Arabidopsis thaliana: one gene and its partners. The protein of the gene in region 1 interacts with the protein of each later gene in a pairwise test. Each region holds a gene or a part of one and is shown in the gene's direction. Other genes may lie near its edges.

Region 1 (3,939 bases):
TGGTTTATGAAAGAGCTAGCGTGCTGCCATAAGATGACATATCAAAAATTGTACACGAACACTGTAACTCTTGAAAATAGGAATTTTCGTAATGGCTAAGTATCAAAATTAATATATGCTGACAAAAAACGAGAATATAATCCACAAATATTTCTAATTGCATACAAACAAACTCCATGAGATATACTTCAATTTAGTTCAAACTTCCAAAAACCATCATAAAATATTCCATTTTGTATAATCTCTTTTTCTGTTTTTTGTCAAAAGTATAATCTTTTTTTATTCTATTTGATATCCGAAAAAAGCAAAACTTGATTCTAGAAGTATTTTGTGGTTCCACAATTTATTATGTTTTTATTTATTTTAGCGTTCCACAATATAATATGTATTTTCGTTAGAATCATATAACCTCGTTTTAGTCTGACAATCATACAACCTCATTTTGAAAAAAAATCATATAATAAAAACTTGTTAAAAACCTATTATAAATAATTATACACAGCCAAAAAAACATTGTCACACCATACTCGAAACTCGAAAGCCTTCACCACAAAATACGTTTTAAGATGATAAGATTGAGACTTATATATCATTATCAATATGGATTAATAATATGTCTTTTTCGCAAATTGTTAAGGCATTTAATTGTCGATCCATAGACAAATAGGGGTGTGCGACTATAAAATGTATATTAAATTACATGTTGACAAACAAACAAGTATGTATATTAAATGCTTTCTTATTACTATTTTGGTTTCGTTTTTAATTCTGTTTGAATAAAATCGAGATTCCAAAATGAATTTACGGCAACAAAAAAAACACGTTTGTTCAACTTTTCTGTAACATATGGGATTGTTTGATTTTCATCGCATACCAAACAAAGTTTTTTTAAGGGGGCGTTGGCGATTGATTTTTACAATTTACTTTTTTCTACTGCATATTGATTTTTTTCTCCAGTTTTCATGAGTTGAAATATCTCCGAAATGCCAAAAAAAATAGCCCGAATAAAAAAAAAAGGTCGTTTTTGTTTATAAGCACTTAATTTGATTTTCTCTTTAGGTCTTATTTCTCGAGTTGAAAATCGTCCTAATGAAAGGGAAAGTTAAATCACCTCACATTATCTAAGACCATATATCTAATTATATCGGGCCGTCGGTTAAGTCATCGCATATTAAGATATACAAATCTCCACTAATTATCCATAACAAAGAGATCAGATATATGAATGATTATATAGACTGATTCCATAAAAGATATTAATCAATAACTAGTTAGTTGGAGAGCGACGTGATCACAACATGGTATCACCATGATGCAAGTATACATCACCAACTGCTTAAATTATTAATCACATTTACGACAATATCATTGTATAATTGCGTTGACCTACAATGGTAATACCACATCAAGGTCTTGTTAAAGTTGACTCATTAGAGATAAGTTTGATCTCGTATTGATTTTAGTCATTTTTACGAAAGATATGTGGAGCTTCGGTTCTACAAATCTTAAATTTTAATACAGAAATGTCCATATATATAAAACCTCAATGATCTAACTCGTAGACTCGATCAAACTTTTTTTTTTTTGTTAAAGGACTTAATCAAACTTGGGATATCAAATTAGCATGACATAAATGATCATAAACCACTTCCTAAACATGATGATTTATCCGACTAATTTGTTTCGTTTATAAAACATAAATTTTACCATCACAATTCGCAACAATTCACTTTTGGATTATATATATCTCTTCATAAGAGATTTGCTTGGTTGATATAATATAATTTATCAATAGTAGTGCCTTTTGTACGATCTGAAAAGTCAACCATCTTTGTAGGCATTAAGCAAAGCAAACCGTCCCCTAAATTAATGTATCACACGTTCTTATAATATCATCTCCTATGATCTTACCATCACTTTTTTTGGTTTCTTTCGCGAAGCCAAAAAAAAACAAGACAAAAAGAAATAAACGACGAGGCTTTTGTTTATTTTATAAAGCTCCTTCACCGGTAAAAGCCTTGGTCCTCATGAAACCGGGAAGCCCAAGTACTTACTTCCACCATCAAATCGTCAAACCATTTGCAACCATCGATGGTGGTCATGTCACGAGTAAGCTTCTACTCTTCTTTCTTGCTACTACTGTTAGAGGTCGTTGTCGCTAGCAGCGAGTTTGATGATGAAGGAAGAACATCGTTCAGTCCAACCACGGCTATAATCATGATCGTACTCGTTAGTGTTTTCTTCGCACTTGGATGTATCTCCGTCTACATGAGGAGGTGTCTCCAGCACGCTCTGGGGATGGACAGCGGTGGTGGTCCAGGAAACTGGCTTAACGTGAGGCAAACGACGGAGCCTGGGCTAGACGCGTCTGTTATAGAAACGTTTCCAACGTTTCCTTACTCTACAGTGAAGACGTTGAGGATCGGTAAAGAAGCTTTGGAGTGTCCCGTTTGTCTCAACGAGTTCGAGGACGACGAAACGCTGCGTTTGATTCCTCAGTGTTGTCACGTGTTTCATCCTGGTTGCATTGATGCCTGGCTCCGTTCTCAGACCACATGTCCTCTTTGCCGAGCCAATCTCGTTCCTGTACCGGGTGAGTCTGTTTCTTCGGAGATACCCGGTTTAGCTAGAGAAACCGGTCAGAACTCTCTCAGAACGCCGATTGATGATAACCGGAAAAGGGTTTTAACTTCACCTGACGAGCGGTTGATTGACTCAGTGGCTTGGACGGGTAACCAAAGCATGCCACGTAAATCCATGTCTACAGGTTGGAAACTAGCTGAATTGTACAGCCCGGCTAGTTCACCGGGCCAACCGGAGGAGAATCTCGACCGGTATACGCTGAGGTTACCACAAGAGATACATGACCAGCTTGTGAACTCCAGCCTGGGAAAGCAAGGGTCAAAAGGCCAACTGGCCTTACCTCAAGAAAGGAGCTCGGTTAGAGGGTTCAGAACCGGAAGCCTAGGGACTGAAAAGAACTATTTCTACTTTGAACGGTTTGATCAAGACGGTCGGTTGGACCGGAGACCATTTTCTATAACTCCTCCATACCATACCCGGTCGATACAGTCTCCGGATGAGATTATCAACGCTAGTGGTAATTATCAGGATCGTGCTGGTGCACCTAAAGGTTTGCTTCTAGCAATAAGGTCACCGTTTGATCGGTTATTTACTGGGAAGAAAAATGCCGGTGAGCGTTCGTACCTTCAATCCGGCGATGCGAGCCCTGTCTAGGCGAATTACTACTATTGGGGTTATTAAGAATATTCTGAAATAAAGAAAATCTGTATATGTATTTTCTTTCTTCTAGTTTCTTTATGTTATATGAGAAATTCAATTCCTTCACCAATATAATGCATCTGTTACTGAAATAGTAATAAAGGAAAGGACCATTTCGTTTTATCATCCAAATCAAGTTTCCTAAGTCTAACAGTCAAAAAGATAGGGTCAAACAAGTAAACCATGGTACTTCAACTGTGATGATTAATGATGTGAAAACTTCAAAGAGGTTCACGAACCACCATGACGGGAATAGAGAACGGATCGGTAGAGAGCAGCGACATGGAGGAAACAAATCAGGGCTATGAGAAGATCATCTAGTAAACCGATAACCCCCAAGACTCCTGACAAGAAATCGATACAAAGTATTGGTCAGTAATATGTTGATAGAAGAGAAGAGTGTGTGTATTGTATGAATATACTGAAGAGATGAAATGAGGATTACCTTCCGGAATGATATCTATTGGGCTGATTATGTAAATCGCACTGAGTATCAACTGCATCAAATAAAAAGCAGTGAATTTTGTGTTAGTCAGAGCATTCTTTAGTTCAGATGTGATCAAGTGCTCAAAGTTGTGAACATTTAATCACAGAAGATTTACTTAATAAGGGTCCAGAAGTAATGAATGTGTTAAACTAACCGCAATATAAACACGA
Region 2 (8,008 bases), 1.9 Mb from region 1:
TTGTTAATCACGTTTTAGTGGCTAAATTTTAAATGCTTCTTCCCATGTGTTTCCATGTTATATATCTTTAGTCACTATAAAATGGTGAAACACAAACAAAACGTGAAAACGCTAGTAAACAATCATGGTTATGAATATTTAGTTACCGTAACATTGAAAATCAAATCTAAACGCAAAATAAACAATCGTAGCCATAATTTGAAATAGTCTAACAGTTGATATTAAACTTTTTACGGATTTAAAAGACTGGTTTCTTCGTCGGTTTGGAAAAGATCTTCAGTTTTCCTAACAGCTGCATGAGACAACACAGCCAAGGCACCTGCCACGATGGCCACCGCGATATTGAGCTTCGCATCAGTTAAAAAAAGGATGGAAAGAGTGATAACAGACATGATTATAAGTACGATACGGTGGTCAATCTCGCGGTCAAAAACAGTGAGCGGTTCATCACGGAGGAAGTAGAGGAAGAGCCATGCACCGAGTAGGGCGAGTAGAACTAAGAGGGAGAAGGGATTCCAAATCAGGCTGAGAAATACGGAGAAGAGGACGACAATGGTGTAATTGGTCTGGAAATAGACCGTGTTGGCTCTGATTCTAGTGATCACGGTGGCTAGTTTGCGGGGGAAGTTGAAGGAACCGAGGTCTAGCATTTGCTTCCAAGGGCGGCGCGTGGCGAGGCCGGATCTTTTGTGTTGGTTGATGCCACGGGTGATGTACTCCAGCTTGGGGGCTAAGTCGTTAGACGACTTCTGATTGGTGCCATATGTTGTCATATTGTTTTTCTCCTTCGTGATATGGGAGAGAGATTAATTATTTTTGCTATAAGTGTGATGTGTTTGTGGTATGTGAAGAGAAAAGCATTACATGACTGAGAGGTTTTATAGAGTTTTGTATTTGCTATAACAAAAAAAAAAATTTGAACATCTTGTATAGTATATAAAAATGTGAAATATGGGATAACATTGAAAATACCTAAAATTACGGGACACACTTTTGAATCCAATTGTTCAGAATCAGAACACATCCACATGAGTCATGAGTCATGACTGACTTTAATTTAGATTTCATTTCCAAACTAATGTTTCACTTCTTCGCACTCGTTTTTTAATTTTCAAACTGATTGTGTTATTCACGTCGCACATGTTATTGCCATTTTTGTTTATCATTTGTAAAATGTATTGGATTGGCTTGCTAATCGATATTGATGTTCTTATCTATAAGATAAAACGTGAGGGAATTAACAGAGTCATAAAAACGACGTGAGAAAAAACCACAATATACAGTATATAAGAATAAGTGTGTCTAGAGTTACAAAACGACGAGGTGAAAGGGGCCAACGGGAGGAAGAACAGGCCACGTTGGCGTTGTCTAAATTTAAAACTGAAAAGAGGTGACACCAATGAGAAGGTGCCAGATGGGAACTGTAATAAGAAGAGAACGAGGAGAAAACTGCAAAACTCATGAAAGGCCAGACCAGAAAGAGATGAGACTTGCCTGCCCAAGTTATTTTTTCTTGCAATTATTGAAAAAATGAACATGGCTCTCCTTTAAGCCCACCACTCCAACTTGGAAACCTTGAATTCTGAATCTTTTTATTATTAACCAATAAATAATACATATATGAGTCATATATGTACTAAAAATGATAAATCTCATTCAGTGTATGATACATACAAATCTTTGTAGAAAGGTATAGGCTCTTGATAAGTAATTGTATGGATTATGATGTTTGGTTTCAGATGTGAGTGTATGAAAACTGGCCGTAAGGTCAGGAGATTTATCATATTTAGTTCAATTATTTTACATGTAGTCATTCTACATTAGCACCTGCGTATCGCTCTTGAATTTTACCATTTTAGTACTCTTGTATAGCGTAAGCTAAGTTTTGGGTAGAGATGACAAAAAAATAATAGGAAACCAGAAAAGGAAAGCGTTAAATATATTGGGCCTATTGCAAGGCCCATTCAATAACTAATAAACCGACGTGTACTAGTAACATCGTATCATCATCTTCTCCGTTATGACTTTGGGTTTTAATCTGCTCGGCCGCCGCTTTATTTTTCAGACCAAACCTACGAACTTCGTTTTGAGGCAGTTTTTTCTGACAGCTAAAATCTAAACTCCGTTGTCAACGCCGTCAAGCAAGCGACAAGGCTCAACATCTCCTATAATCTCTTTCTCTGCACCAGTTAACTTCCCTAAGATGGCTCCAAACGCTACTGGAGTCTTGAAGAGGCACAGGTCCCATGAGAAATTCGATAAGAAACGAGATACGAAGAAGCACAAACATGTTGAAAAGACGATTGTTTCCAATCCTTCAACAGGTTTGTTAGCTCTTCTTTGTTAATTGTGCAAGAGATTACAGATTGTGTGTCCAACAAATTAAGTGGTGCTCAATATTAAACTCTTTTTGTGTTATTTTATCGTTAGATTCACCTGAAGAATCCTCTATAGAGGCTGAATCGGAAGCAATGGTTTACAGAGAACCGACACAGTACCAAAATTTGCTGGTGTCTCTTGGTTCATCTAACAAGGTTGTTGCTGATATGAACAAAAGAAGGTATCTTTACAATGTCGTTTGTTTTAACAAGTTCAAGTCTTCAGTTTTTGGTTTATTTGGAAGTCTTTGACTCTTTGTATGACTCGGAATTATGTCAATCATTTAGATTCGATATACTTGTTCCGATGTGGAACTAACTACTATGTCCTTTAAATCTTCAAATTTTATTCTTTTAAGATTGTGTTGATTATATGTAACAAGTTTCTTGGCATATATTGGTTGTGAGGGAGGTAGTGAATCTTCAAATCTTTTTTACAGGCAGAGAGAGGAAGAAGGTAAAAGTGACACAGAAGAAGATGAGGACGATGAAGATGAGGATGAGGAGGAAAACAGTGGGTCTGACGATTTAAGCTCTACTGATGGGGAGGATGATAAGAGTCAAGGTTAGTTTTTCCTTATCTAGTTTTGCAAGTTATTACTAGTTTCTATTGTGCTTAGACTTAGCATACTCCTGTAAACTTCATTATTGGCTCTTAAGTATTCTTGCAATAGTTGCATCGTTGTTCAGCCTTTTGATTTCACCTATGCTTCTGTTTGTATATTTAAGGGGATGATCAGGAAACTCTCGGAGGTCTTACGGACGACACGCAGGAAGACAATGATAATCAGAGTGAGGAAGAAGATCCTGACGACTATGAAACGGATGAGGAGGTGCATGAGTTGAGTACCAATGGCCAATCCTTTGTAGATGCTTCTTCATCTATTAGGTAAATTTGATTCAGATGGTGGTGTCTGCAAACATTTATTTACAGTTTGATGTGCTCGTTTATCCAATACAACTCTTTTATTCACACATTTATTGTTCAGTGCATTTAGTGAGCACCTTAGCCACAAATTATCCAGTGAAGAAGTGGAAACTTTACCAAAAGGCAAGTGGAAGTTTAAATGGGAATCACCTGCCTTTGACATGCCAAATTGCAAATGGAAAGGAACGAGTGAAAATTTTCTTGATGTATGTGTTCTGTAACCTTTCCTCAGAAAATATGGTCGCGAAGTCTGCCTCCAAACCTAGTAGTTTACCAGTAGCACCATTTGTTTATATTTTGCAGGGTATTCAGAGTGATGCACCTTACGGCCTCAAGCCGAAGTTATATAATCACTGGCTGCAATTGTACAAAAAATGTGGAGGCAAAGATTTGGACTCATCTAAGAGGAGAAAATTCTTCTCTATTTGTACGTATTAGATTCCGGGATTTTCCTATCTCTGGATTCTTTCTACTTTATATCATTCATGTTTCTTTCATGGCTCTGTGTTGATCATTGTATTTTGATACTGCAGGCAACAGCTATCTGGATATATTGCATTCTAACAAGAAACCCTTTTACCATTGTGGCTCTGACGAAGACTCAAGTGCCATGGATGCGTACCTTATGCATTCTGTGTGTACACACTTGTATTCCTTTTTCTAAGACAATTTATGAGTTTTTCATTAGACTCCGCATATCTTCAGGATTTATTGAAGTCCGTTTGTCTTATGCAGTTGAATCACATCTTTAAAACTAGAGATCTAGTGAAGAAGAATGAAAGTAAAATCGCCAAGCATCGAGAGACCTCCGAAGAAGAAATTCTTTCTGATGATGGATTTCTGGACCAAGGATTTACTCGTCCAAAGGTGACCCCTTCTGCTTTTCTTCTGCAAATATTTTATGTGTTTAAATATGTTGTTGCTCGCATTTGAGTTTGACAGTCGGTCTTACGTGTATTGTAATTCCAGGTCCTGATTCTATTACCATTGAGGAGCATTGCCTTTCGCGTTGTTAAGAGGCTCATACAACTAACTCCGGAATCTCAAAGGGTATATAAATTTATGAAATTCGTTCATCAATTTTTCAATTGGAAAATGCTTTGTGACTGTGTTGCCTCTACTCTACATCTCGTGGATGAGAAAATTCTCTAGTTTGATTGTTAGTGATGTTGAAAGAATTTTCTGCATTGATATTGTCTATGTTGCTAATGCCTTGAGTTGCCTATGCCATCTTCAATATCCTTCATTGGTTTCAGGTTAATGTAGAACACCTTGACCGGTTTAATGATGAGTTTGGATGTGAAGAGGATACTGATGACTGTGATGGTGAAAAGACTACATCGAAAAATGGAAACTCAATCAAACAAAAGTCTTCAAAACCTTCTGACTGGCAAGCCCTTTTTGGTGCGAATAACAACGATGATGAGTTTATGTTAGGCATTAAACATACAAGGTATATATAAGCCTACATACTCTTTAGATTTGAAGTGCATGCTTTCGGTTGGTATCTAATTTGGTCGTTGTGCTGAGACTTGAATCCTCTTGTCAATTTCAGGAAGAGTATTAGGCTATATGGTGATTTTTATTCCTCAGACATTATAGTTGCTTCCCCTCTCAAGTTACATATGGTAGGCAGCCTTGTCTATCCTTTCATAAGATGATTTAGTTATGCAAATCTTCTTGATTTGATCTCTAATCAACTTCGCTCTTGTTAGGCCATTGGTGCAGCAGAAGAAAACAAGGAACGGGATGTTGATTATCTTTCTTCCATAGAGGTACTTCTTTTATCATTGCTTGCAGAAGATATATTTAATAGATAGCTGATGGTTGATGCCAATAATGTTCAGTTACTTTAGTCTATTATTGCTTTATCTCTTAAACCTGGTTTATTACTGCATGTATTTTCAAATATTTGAGGTTGTATTCTGCATCTTCTTATTTTAGTTACTAATATTGTTTTTCATGTACATGTGGATAGGTTTTGGTTATCGATCATGCAGACATAATATCTATGCAGGTAGGTTGTGGGATGAGCTTATAGAATTTTCAAAGATAGATTTATGACTCCATTTCTTATATGTTCTATTATAATGTTTCAGAATTGGTCGTTCCTTGCTACAGTCGTTGACTACTTAAATAGATTGCCAACAAAACAACATGGAACCAATGTCATGCGAATTCGGCCGTTGTACGTAGTTCTGACTTTTAAGTTCTTTTCTCTAATATGTTTATCTGTCCAACAGCCCATCTATGCCAGAATTTCTAAGAAAAGTTCTTATGTTTAGGTATCTGGATGGACATGCAAGGTTTTATCGCCAGTCAATAATTCTAAGTTCTTATTTAACTCCGGGTATTGATCTGTCCATTTGTTATCACCTATGGTTTAATTCCTTTTGATCTTCGTTTTTCCTATATTTCCATAATCCTTATTTATGGTGGAGTTTCCAAACTTGTACTAACCCAGATAATATTTCGTTTCAGAGATGAATTCTCTATTCGGTCGCCACTGCTTGAACTATAAGGGAAAGGTGAGCATTCATAATGCAGCACATTATCCATTTATAGTAAATGGATTTCGGGCGTCTTTTTTGTTACTAGTGTATTGAGGGGATTATATGATTGATCTATTATGCGTGTTCCCCATACCAAGATTGTAAATTTAAAGTTAACTTGTCTTTCATATCTAGTTTGATGTTAAATTTGTACCGTAACACTTTTGGTTGAATCTATGCAGATGAAGATGGCGTGTGAATACAAGGGTGTTCTTGAGAAAGTGTTGCTCCCTGTCCGTCAGGTATGAAAGCTTATCTTTTTTACACAAGAAAAGTTTTAGACATCTTATCTCTCTGTCTGTGTTGCAGATTTATGAAAGATTTGATGCAGCCTCCATAACCCAAGTGGACGATGCACGTCTTGAATATTTTACCAAAAAGGTCATTTTTTTTTTTTTTTTGATGCTATGGTTTTGCAGTAATTAGATTTTCATGAATAAATTGCATTGTTGCATATCTTTGTTCGTATACCATTGAAAGTAGGGTCATAAGTCATTGCACATATTACACTTTTTAGGTGCTAAATAAAATAGTTACTGATTCCGTTCTTCTTTTCATTACAGATTTTCCCAAAGATTAAAGATTCTGTTCAGGTACTCCCATCATTCGAAGTCATTCAAAGTCTAAACTGTTTTGTTGACCATACTTCTAAGTTGCCATAACATACTGGACAATAACAAAGTTGGGCAGAACAAAGACCTTATTGTTATCACGTAAATTTGGGAGCTTGATTGTTCGTATTCCAATCATGCTTGTAGGGAGGAGTAATGATCTTTATCCATTCTTACTTCGAGTTCGTCAGGCTTAGAAACTTTTTGAATACGCAGAATACCTCTTTCTGTCTTCTTGGAGAGTAAGATCATTTTCTTCCTGTTTTGAAGTTGCTGCTTCTCTGTGTTATCTGGATTTCCTTTACCGGATATAGTTAATTGACTTCTGTTTTTCAGTTATGCAAAAAATGCAGATATATCCCGAGCAAGAGAACAGTTTTTTGTAGGGAGCCGAAAGATCATGCTTTACACTGAGAGAGCATACTTTTATAAGAGATACAAGGTTTTTTCTTCTTCTTAAATTCATCTTTGATCTTTTAGTAGGTTCTGTACTGTTCTGACCAATTTGGCTGATGTATGATGATGTTGCTTTCTCGGTTTCAGATCCGTGGTATAAAGAACTTAATCTTATATTCTCTTCCGGAGCGGAAGGAGTTTTACCCTGAGGTAAGTGCATCTTTAATCGAGAATTAAATACGACCCAACCCTAATCAGGAGAACGACAGTCGAGTCTCATCGTTCGATCTTTAACTGCAGATAATGAACATGCTTGAAGAAGGATCACATGACATGATGTCCACTGCACTTTTTTCTCGTTTTGATATGCTCCAGGTACTACTTACACATCTCTCGTTTTCAGTCTCCTGATGGTTCCTCATATATAGACAATTAGATTAGTTTAAAACTTAGCTCACTCGAACCAGGTACAAAGAGTAATGATAAATATATAAGTTGTAATGGCAAGTTTAGTAATGTGGACCAATGTGATGTTTTTTGCAGCTGGAAAGGATCGTTGGCTCTACTTCCGCAAAGAGAATGATCACTTCTGAGAAGAACATGTTTGCTTTCTGTTAAGAAACAAAATAGTCGATATCTATTTGTTTGGTGATCTTGATCGCCCAGTTTTGATTATGCTATTTTCTTTGTTCAGACTAACCGGTTCAATTCAAATTAAAATGAAACTCAAATTTAGAGAACAAATTAATTTAGTTTCATTTTCTTGAGTGCGAATATAACGTTTAGTTGTCATTTGCATTTTATAAGTATCAACTTCAGGATCCAAAACCAAATGTCAAACTTGAGAAGAAATTCAATTAAACTTCAGACGTCGACATCAAAAGGATGGATATGATCAATGGTCTAGCAGCAGATGACAAAATTTTCAATAATCTATCTTTCTCCTTCAAGGATTTGAAGAATGGCCTATCGGTTAATTTACTGAAAACCCGATTTGAAAATAAAAACCGAAAATGTCAGTTCGGTTTTCTCTCAAAGCGGTGTCGTAGTCTGTTGGCCTTTACACGAATTTTTTCATTTAGAGGATGATCTTGAAGTGGGTTGTGGACAAAGTTTCATCGATTTTATGGATAAGATTATTAT
Region 3 (6,166 bases), on another chromosome or scaffold:
AGTAAATCTGTTACAATTAGGGTCCAAATTTTTATTAAAAAATAAAATATAGGAAATGATGACCAATTCTTTTTTTTAGCACATGATTTTTAATTATTTTGAGCCAGCCCTAAGTAAAAAACGTATAGGCTTTTGTCGACGATTATGTTATAAACTTATAACTAGATAAGAACTCGCATCTAGTGTGGGATGAAACGATTAAAATAAATTATTTGATAAAATTATTGATATTTAATATTTGTCTGTATATAATAAAACATGTAATTAATGTTTTTATTTTATTTTAATTTATGTTTGTTTTGTGTAAAAATACGTTTCACCCGTGATTGTTAAAGCTCTAATTCTTGAGTGGGTCGGAACTTGGTTTAATTTGCAACATAATACAAACATCGATATATCAGATCTTTTTTAGTTTGTGTTATAGTGTGCTCAGTGGGGCGGCTGTTGTACGGATAGATTTGAAAGGATTCTTTGTTATGATTCCAACGTTTTTGCAATCACTAGAGAAAACCAATGAGATTGTAAAAGAAAAACGGAAACAAAACAAAACAAAAGAGAAGAAAGCTAGAGAACAAAAAAATGATATTCACTAGACATGGTTTCGACGAAGAAACTGGAAACCAGCCATCAAACAAATACAACAAAGATGATCTGAGCTTAGTCGAGAAAAAAGGATCCTGAATTGCTCGGATGATAAAATCAGACGTGGTTGGGATTTCTCTCTAAAATGTTCTCATCATTTAATTTGGCCATTTGGATATGATTTAAATCCTAATTTCTAGCTTTAGTTTCTTGTTTTTTTTTTTAAATTAATCAAGCACAATAAAAACCTTAGACTTAGAACCCTCCATTTTTTTTCCAACAATTTTGAAAACTATATAAGTTCATTATTTTTATCTCTATATATATATATAAGCTTAAGAAAATGTACGTATAATTATGTTTGTTCAAATGTTCATCCAGAATATTTTACGATGTCATATTGGTTTTGTTTTGTTATCATGTTGTGAAGTAAGTAATCATTTTTTTTATTGTCATTTCCGTTCTTGTATTAAAAATTATATATTGATGTGGTTGTTAAACCGAAAAAGAAGGTGAATTTGGTAGATCGCAATATTTATTGATGAAATTAAGAAAATATCAATAATATGATTTGGGTTCATTACATAGTTTTTTTTTTTACATGTGTAACCCCTTCTCACGGCCACGGTGAAATTTTCATAATATACACAAAAAGGGCAACAAATAAGAAATTTTCATTACATAGTATATTCCTTAATTTTGTTTTTATTCTCATTTAGTTTTTACTAGAAACATTAAAATGAACTTATATTTGTAACGTGCTATTTTGTTTTCTGAACTATCAAATGAACGTCTAACAAAATCAAACTCAAAAACTTATAATTTATAACTCTAATTTCCATTTAATAAATAATATACCCACTAAATTAAAAGTTAAAAGTTAACTAGTAAAATCGACTATAATTGCAGAAAATTAGAAACTGTTTTATCCTTTCTTTACATTGTCGGTTTTCACCGTCCAATACTCCAATCCATTTTTAGTTTACTAACTAAAATTTTTTTATTTTAATTTACTTATCAAGTTTACCCAAGAATAATATTAAGTCTTACCAAGTCAAGACAGGGCAGTACGTATGAAGTGGGACTTGGGATTTAATGTCACATTTAAAGCTTAAACGTCAGTGTTTACTAGAAACTTTGACAAGTTCTTGATTGCAACACAACAATGATTGCGACAATATTAATAGATATATAGTTATATTTTCCACCACATATCTAATTCTTCATCTTCTCAACTAAACAAATCAGTCACCGGGAAAAATATAAAGAGATGACGGATAAAGAAGAAAGCAACCACTCCTCGGAGGTTGGCGCCGTCCGATCCCTCCAAGAAACTCCCACTTGGGCTCTGGCCACCGTTTGTTTCTTCTTCATCGCTGTTTCCATTTGCCTCGAGCGTCTCATCAATCTTCTATCCACTGTAAGTACAAATATGTATATTATAGGATCATATATACTTTCTTCTATACACTGTTTAAATTTTGACTAATCTCTTTAAGTTTTTTTTATAAATTTTTTGTTCTTGGAAAAGTAGAGTTTGGTTTACACTTGCAAGAATTTAAATTGGATATATTTATATTTTATTAAATTAGATATATAGGTGAAGTAGTAAATATGTATGTTAATAAAAATGTATTTTAATATTTTAACCATTTTCGAAAAATATCAGCTAGATAACATGAGTTGAAATTTCAACAAAAAATAAAAAGCGAGTCGAAAGTTCAAGACAAAACTGTATTATATATATATTGTCTCTTTTCTTGCAGAGACTTAAGAAAAATAGAAAAACGTCGCTACTTGAAGCTGTAGAGAAGCTCAAATCAGGTAAAAAACTGTCCCATTCGTAGAAAAGTTCATTGGTCATCAATCTTTGTTTAATTTAAAAAGCTCAAACATCTTATAGTAAAAAAAAATCCTAAATTTTTGGATATGAAAATCAATTGAAATATCTCTTCCAATTTTATTAATCTCTGAATTTTTAATGTTCTGTAAGGGCAGTTCTAATGGTGCTAGGATTCATGTCACTAATGCTAAATGTAACTGAAGGAGAAGTTTCGAAGATATGCATTCCTATAAAGTATGCCAATCGAATGTTGCCATGCCGTAAAACCATAAAATCACATAATGATGTTAGTGAAGATGATGATGATGATGATGGTGATAATCATGACAACAGCTTCTTTCATCAATGCTCTTCCAAGGTTCTTTTTGACCCTTTGATCTTTAATTAAAATCATTTTACAGTTTTATTTTCATTTATCTTTAAATCCAAGGTGGACATATATATAATGTATAAAAGTAGTATACAAAGGTTTTAACTTAGAAAAACAAAAGTTTTGATGACCAGTGAAACTGTAGATAGAAATTATGCAGCAATTTTGTTTTCTTAATCAATCACACAATTTAGTTTTTGATTTATGAATTTTCGTTAAATGATTTTCCAGTTTTCATAACCTTTTATTGCTTACTATTCTACAATATGATTATTTAAATAAGAGATTTAATCATATACATTTTTATATGCTTAACTTATGAAACTTCTGAATCCAAAAGTTTTAAGATATCTTCTTGAAATCCAAGATGGAGGGAGAGAGGACCGCAAAATCCAAAAATGTCAACTAGTTTACTTTGACGTTGACTTGGAGTCTTGGACATTGTCGTTAGCTAGAGTCCACTAATCAAGAAAATTACGTCCAAATAAAAAAGAAAACAAAAAAAAAATTGTTGAGTTATGAACAAAATATCAAGAGTATGACTTTTTCTTTGCTTACTAAAGTAAATTTTATTTCGAAGTAACTAATCCGATTTAATAAAATAAAATTTGCAGGGTAAGACTTCACTAATATCAGAAGAAGGGTTGACTCAGTTGAGTTACTTCTTCTTTGTGTTGGCATGCATGCATATTCTCTGCAATCTTGCTATTCTTCTCCTTGGAATGGCCAAGGTACTACATATATACACTATGCAATCAAATATTATAACATTACAATTGTTTAATAAAGACTTCAATAATTTGTGACATGGTTTTTTACTATTGTTTACATACAAAGTTTTTTGTGTACGTAATACATATAGATGAGAAAATGGAATTCGTGGGAGAAAGAGACCCAAACAGTGGAGTATCTAGCAGCAAACGGTAAGATTTTTGTATTTTTCTACTACGAAATTACATGCAATGTCAATTATTTCTTAGTCGATAAGTTAATTAATATTTTATGAAAATTTAAAGATCCGAATAGGTTTAGAATAACAAGAGATACAACATTTGCTCGACGACACCTGAGTTCATGGACTGAAACATCATTTCAACTTTGGATTGTAAGTTCGTACCTATTATTAATCTTTAATTAATTTGTTAATTAACATTTATCTCAAATATATAGGTTTAACTATATTAATAATTAAGTTTTTTTCTTCTTAGAAATGTTTCTTCAGGCAATTTTACAACTCAGTGGCGAAAGTAGATTACCTCACACTTCGGCATGGGTTCATCTTTGTTAGTACCTCATTTTTTGTCAATGAATAATTATTTAAAAATAAATAAATTTTAAATTTAATGTGTTATTTTGATTATTGATGCAGGCTCATGTATCGTCAAATAATGCTTTCAACTTCCAAAACTATATACAGAGATCTTTACATGAAGATTTTAAAACTGTGGTTGGTATAAGGTAGTCATATTTGTGTATTTTACATGAATCTTAAGTAACAAAGTTAAATCAAATAAACTTTTTAATTTTGTTACAGTCCTTTAATGTGGCTAACTGTGGTCATCTTTATGCTCCTCGACGTTTCTGGTAACTTAATTTATATATTTGTTAGCTTAAATAGTTAAATTAAAATAATTATTAGTGATTACTCGTTTTTATCTTATCTTCTTCTTTTTTTCTTAATCATCAGGTTGGAGAGTATATTTTTATATGTCATTTGTGCCACTCATTGTAAGAGCTAATTTAATCTAGTTAAGACTAATTAACTATATGTGTAACTCAAATTATTGACGAACTAATATTGTTACGTAGATAGTTTTAGTGATCGGGACGAAACTAGAGATGATAGTAGCGAAAATGGCGGTCACAATTAAGGAGAATAACAGTGTAATTAGAGGAACCCCTCTCGTTGAGTCAAACGACACGCATTTCTGGTTTTCCAATCCTCGTTTTCTCTTAAGCATTCTACACTACACGCTGTTTCTGGTAATCTTTTATAAACTACATGTCGTTTTTCCTAATGCTTCATCATAATGCCAACATTAATTTTTCTAATACAGAACACCTTCGAGATGGCATTTATTGTGTGGATCACTGTAAGTTCTAATTTCTTATAGGGATTTTAATATTTGGATTTATAAGAAAGGGAAAAATAATATAGGAAATTGTTATATGTGATGTATCTATAATTTTAATTATGAAATTAGTGGCAATTTGGGATTAACTCTTGCTACCATGATAACCAAGGGATCATAATCACACGACTTGTATTAGCGTAAGCACTACAATTTATTTATTTTATCCCACAAATTATTTACATTTTCGAAATTATATTTTTGTATTAAAAATCATATCGTTAATATTAAGGATATTATGATTTATAGGGTGACAGTCCAGTTCTTGAGCAGCTACATTACATTGCCTCTTTATGCCATTGTAACTCAGGTAATTTAGTCCAATATATATAACACCATTTTTAAATTAAATCGTTTTGCATTAGTATATAAATTATTACTGTTAGTGTAACCTAGTGATCTGAATTTGATTTGGATGCATATATATATGTGTTTAGATGGGGTCAAGCTACAAGAGAGCAATCTTAGAAGAACAACTAGCAAATGTGTTAAGGCACTGGCAAGGGATGGTTAGAGACAAGAAAAAGACTATCCAAACGCCAGACACCGACAACAACAGTAACAATAACAATGGTGATATTGATTCTGGAGAAAGTCCGGTTCAGACAGAAGTTGCTTCTGAGTTTAGATTTTCGGGTAGACAATCGCCGATTTTACAAGAGATACAGATACAAGAGAAAACTGAAAGGTGATCAGATTGATGGAAAATGAGAAAGAGATTGTTGGTATTATTGTTAAGAACTTTTTAGAGTTGCCTTTACTAATTATTGACGAATCAAATGACAAAATAGTAAGTTTAACCAGAAGTGTCAGTGTTAGATTGGCATGCTGGTATCGTGATAACATGTCACACATAATGTGACTAATAATTGATATGGTTTCTAGAGGATTGCTTGAAGCTATTTTTCTTATTGTGAGGTTATTAAGGACACTGTGAATTATATATACGTGTACAGAATGAAAATGTCGCATTGGCAATGCAGAAAACAGACTTATCTCTATTCTTCTTTGAAAAGCTCGCGACCGATGACAATCCTTCTGATCTCGCTTGTCCCTGCACCGATTTCATATAGCTTTGCATCTCTTAGAAGGCGTCCTGTTGCATATTCGTTTATGTATCCATTTCCGCCTAAACATTGTATCGCCTGCAACATCAAACCAAATCTTTTAGTCTTAAAGGAAAGGTAACTAGGTGATCAATATGTGTAGTTATGATCCCTTCGGAGGTTTGCTTTGCTG

Evidence for each region. Proteins that work in one complex are often made in the same cells at the same time.
Region 2: the proteins of ATL15 (region 1) and NOF1 interact in a protein complementation assay, tested with the Arabidopsis thaliana proteins (one large-scale study listed by BioGRID).
Region 3: the proteins of ATL15 (region 1) and MLO3 interact in a protein complementation assay, tested with the Arabidopsis thaliana proteins (one large-scale study listed by BioGRID).

The regions. Positions count from the first base shown.
Region 1 is NC_003070.9:7,947,490-7,951,428, forward strand, and holds ATL15 (RING/U-box superfamily protein), read left to right. Parts: upstream 1-1,986; 5' UTR 1,987-2,091; coding exon 2,092-3,237; 3' UTR 3,238-3,411; downstream 3,412-3,939. Other genes in the region: AT1G22510 (E3 ubiquitin-protein ligase RNF170-like protein (DUF 1232)), read right to left, coding at 3,514-3,626, 3,728-3,779, 3,924-3,939. UniProt on the Arabidopsis thaliana protein: E3 ubiquitin-protein ligase able to catalyze polyubiquitination with ubiquitin-conjugating enzyme E2 UBC8, UBC10, UBC11, UBC28 and UBC29 in vitro.
Region 2 is NC_003070.9:6,082,353-6,090,360, reverse strand, and holds NOF1 (U3 small nucleolar RNA-associated protein), read left to right. Parts: upstream 1-1,979; 5' UTR 1,980-2,203; coding exon 2,204-2,324; intron 2,325-2,430; coding exon 2,431-2,560; intron 2,561-2,818; coding exon 2,819-2,943; intron 2,944-3,107; coding exon 3,108-3,267; intron 3,268-3,367; coding exon 3,368-3,512; intron 3,513-3,609; coding exon 3,610-3,733; intron 3,734-3,839; coding exon 3,840-3,940; intron 3,941-4,041; coding exon 4,042-4,173; intron 4,174-4,275; coding exon 4,276-4,356; intron 4,357-4,562; coding exon 4,563-4,759; intron 4,760-4,861; coding exon 4,862-4,934; intron 4,935-5,021; coding exon 5,022-5,081; intron 5,082-5,284; coding exon 5,285-5,323; intron 5,324-5,405; coding exon 5,406-5,494; intron 5,495-5,591; coding exon 5,592-5,656; intron 5,657-5,787; coding exon 5,788-5,834; intron 5,835-6,040; coding exon 6,041-6,100; intron 6,101-6,167; coding exon 6,168-6,239; intron 6,240-6,421; coding exon 6,422-6,451; intron 6,452-6,616; and 11 more. Other genes in the region: PRA1.F1 (prenylated RAB acceptor 1.F1), read right to left, coding at 231-773. UniProt on the Arabidopsis thaliana protein: DEAD-box RNA helicase-like protein required for pre-18S rRNA processing, specifically at sites A0, A1, and A2. Involved in the control of rRNA expression. Required for embryo development and female gametogenesis.
Region 3 is NC_003074.8:16,615,734-16,621,899, forward strand, and holds MLO3 (Seven transmembrane MLO family protein), read left to right. Parts: upstream 1-1,664; 5' UTR 1,665-1,852; coding exon 1,853-2,002; intron 2,003-2,348; coding exon 2,349-2,406; intron 2,407-2,580; coding exon 2,581-2,783; intron 2,784-3,409; coding exon 3,410-3,526; intron 3,527-3,657; coding exon 3,658-3,718; intron 3,719-3,811; coding exon 3,812-3,900; intron 3,901-4,003; coding exon 4,004-4,078; intron 4,079-4,164; coding exon 4,165-4,253; intron 4,254-4,329; coding exon 4,330-4,379; intron 4,380-4,482; coding exon 4,483-4,523; exon of another isoform or gene 4,524-4,604; coding exon 4,605-4,778; exon of another isoform or gene 4,779-4,804; intron 4,805-4,852; coding exon 4,853-4,888; intron 4,889-4,999; coding exon 5,000-5,067; intron 5,068-5,176; coding exon 5,177-5,237; intron 5,238-5,364; coding exon 5,365-5,619; 3' UTR 5,620-5,637; downstream 5,638-6,166. Other genes in the region: IVD (isovaleryl-CoA-dehydrogenase), read right to left, coding at 5,926-6,072.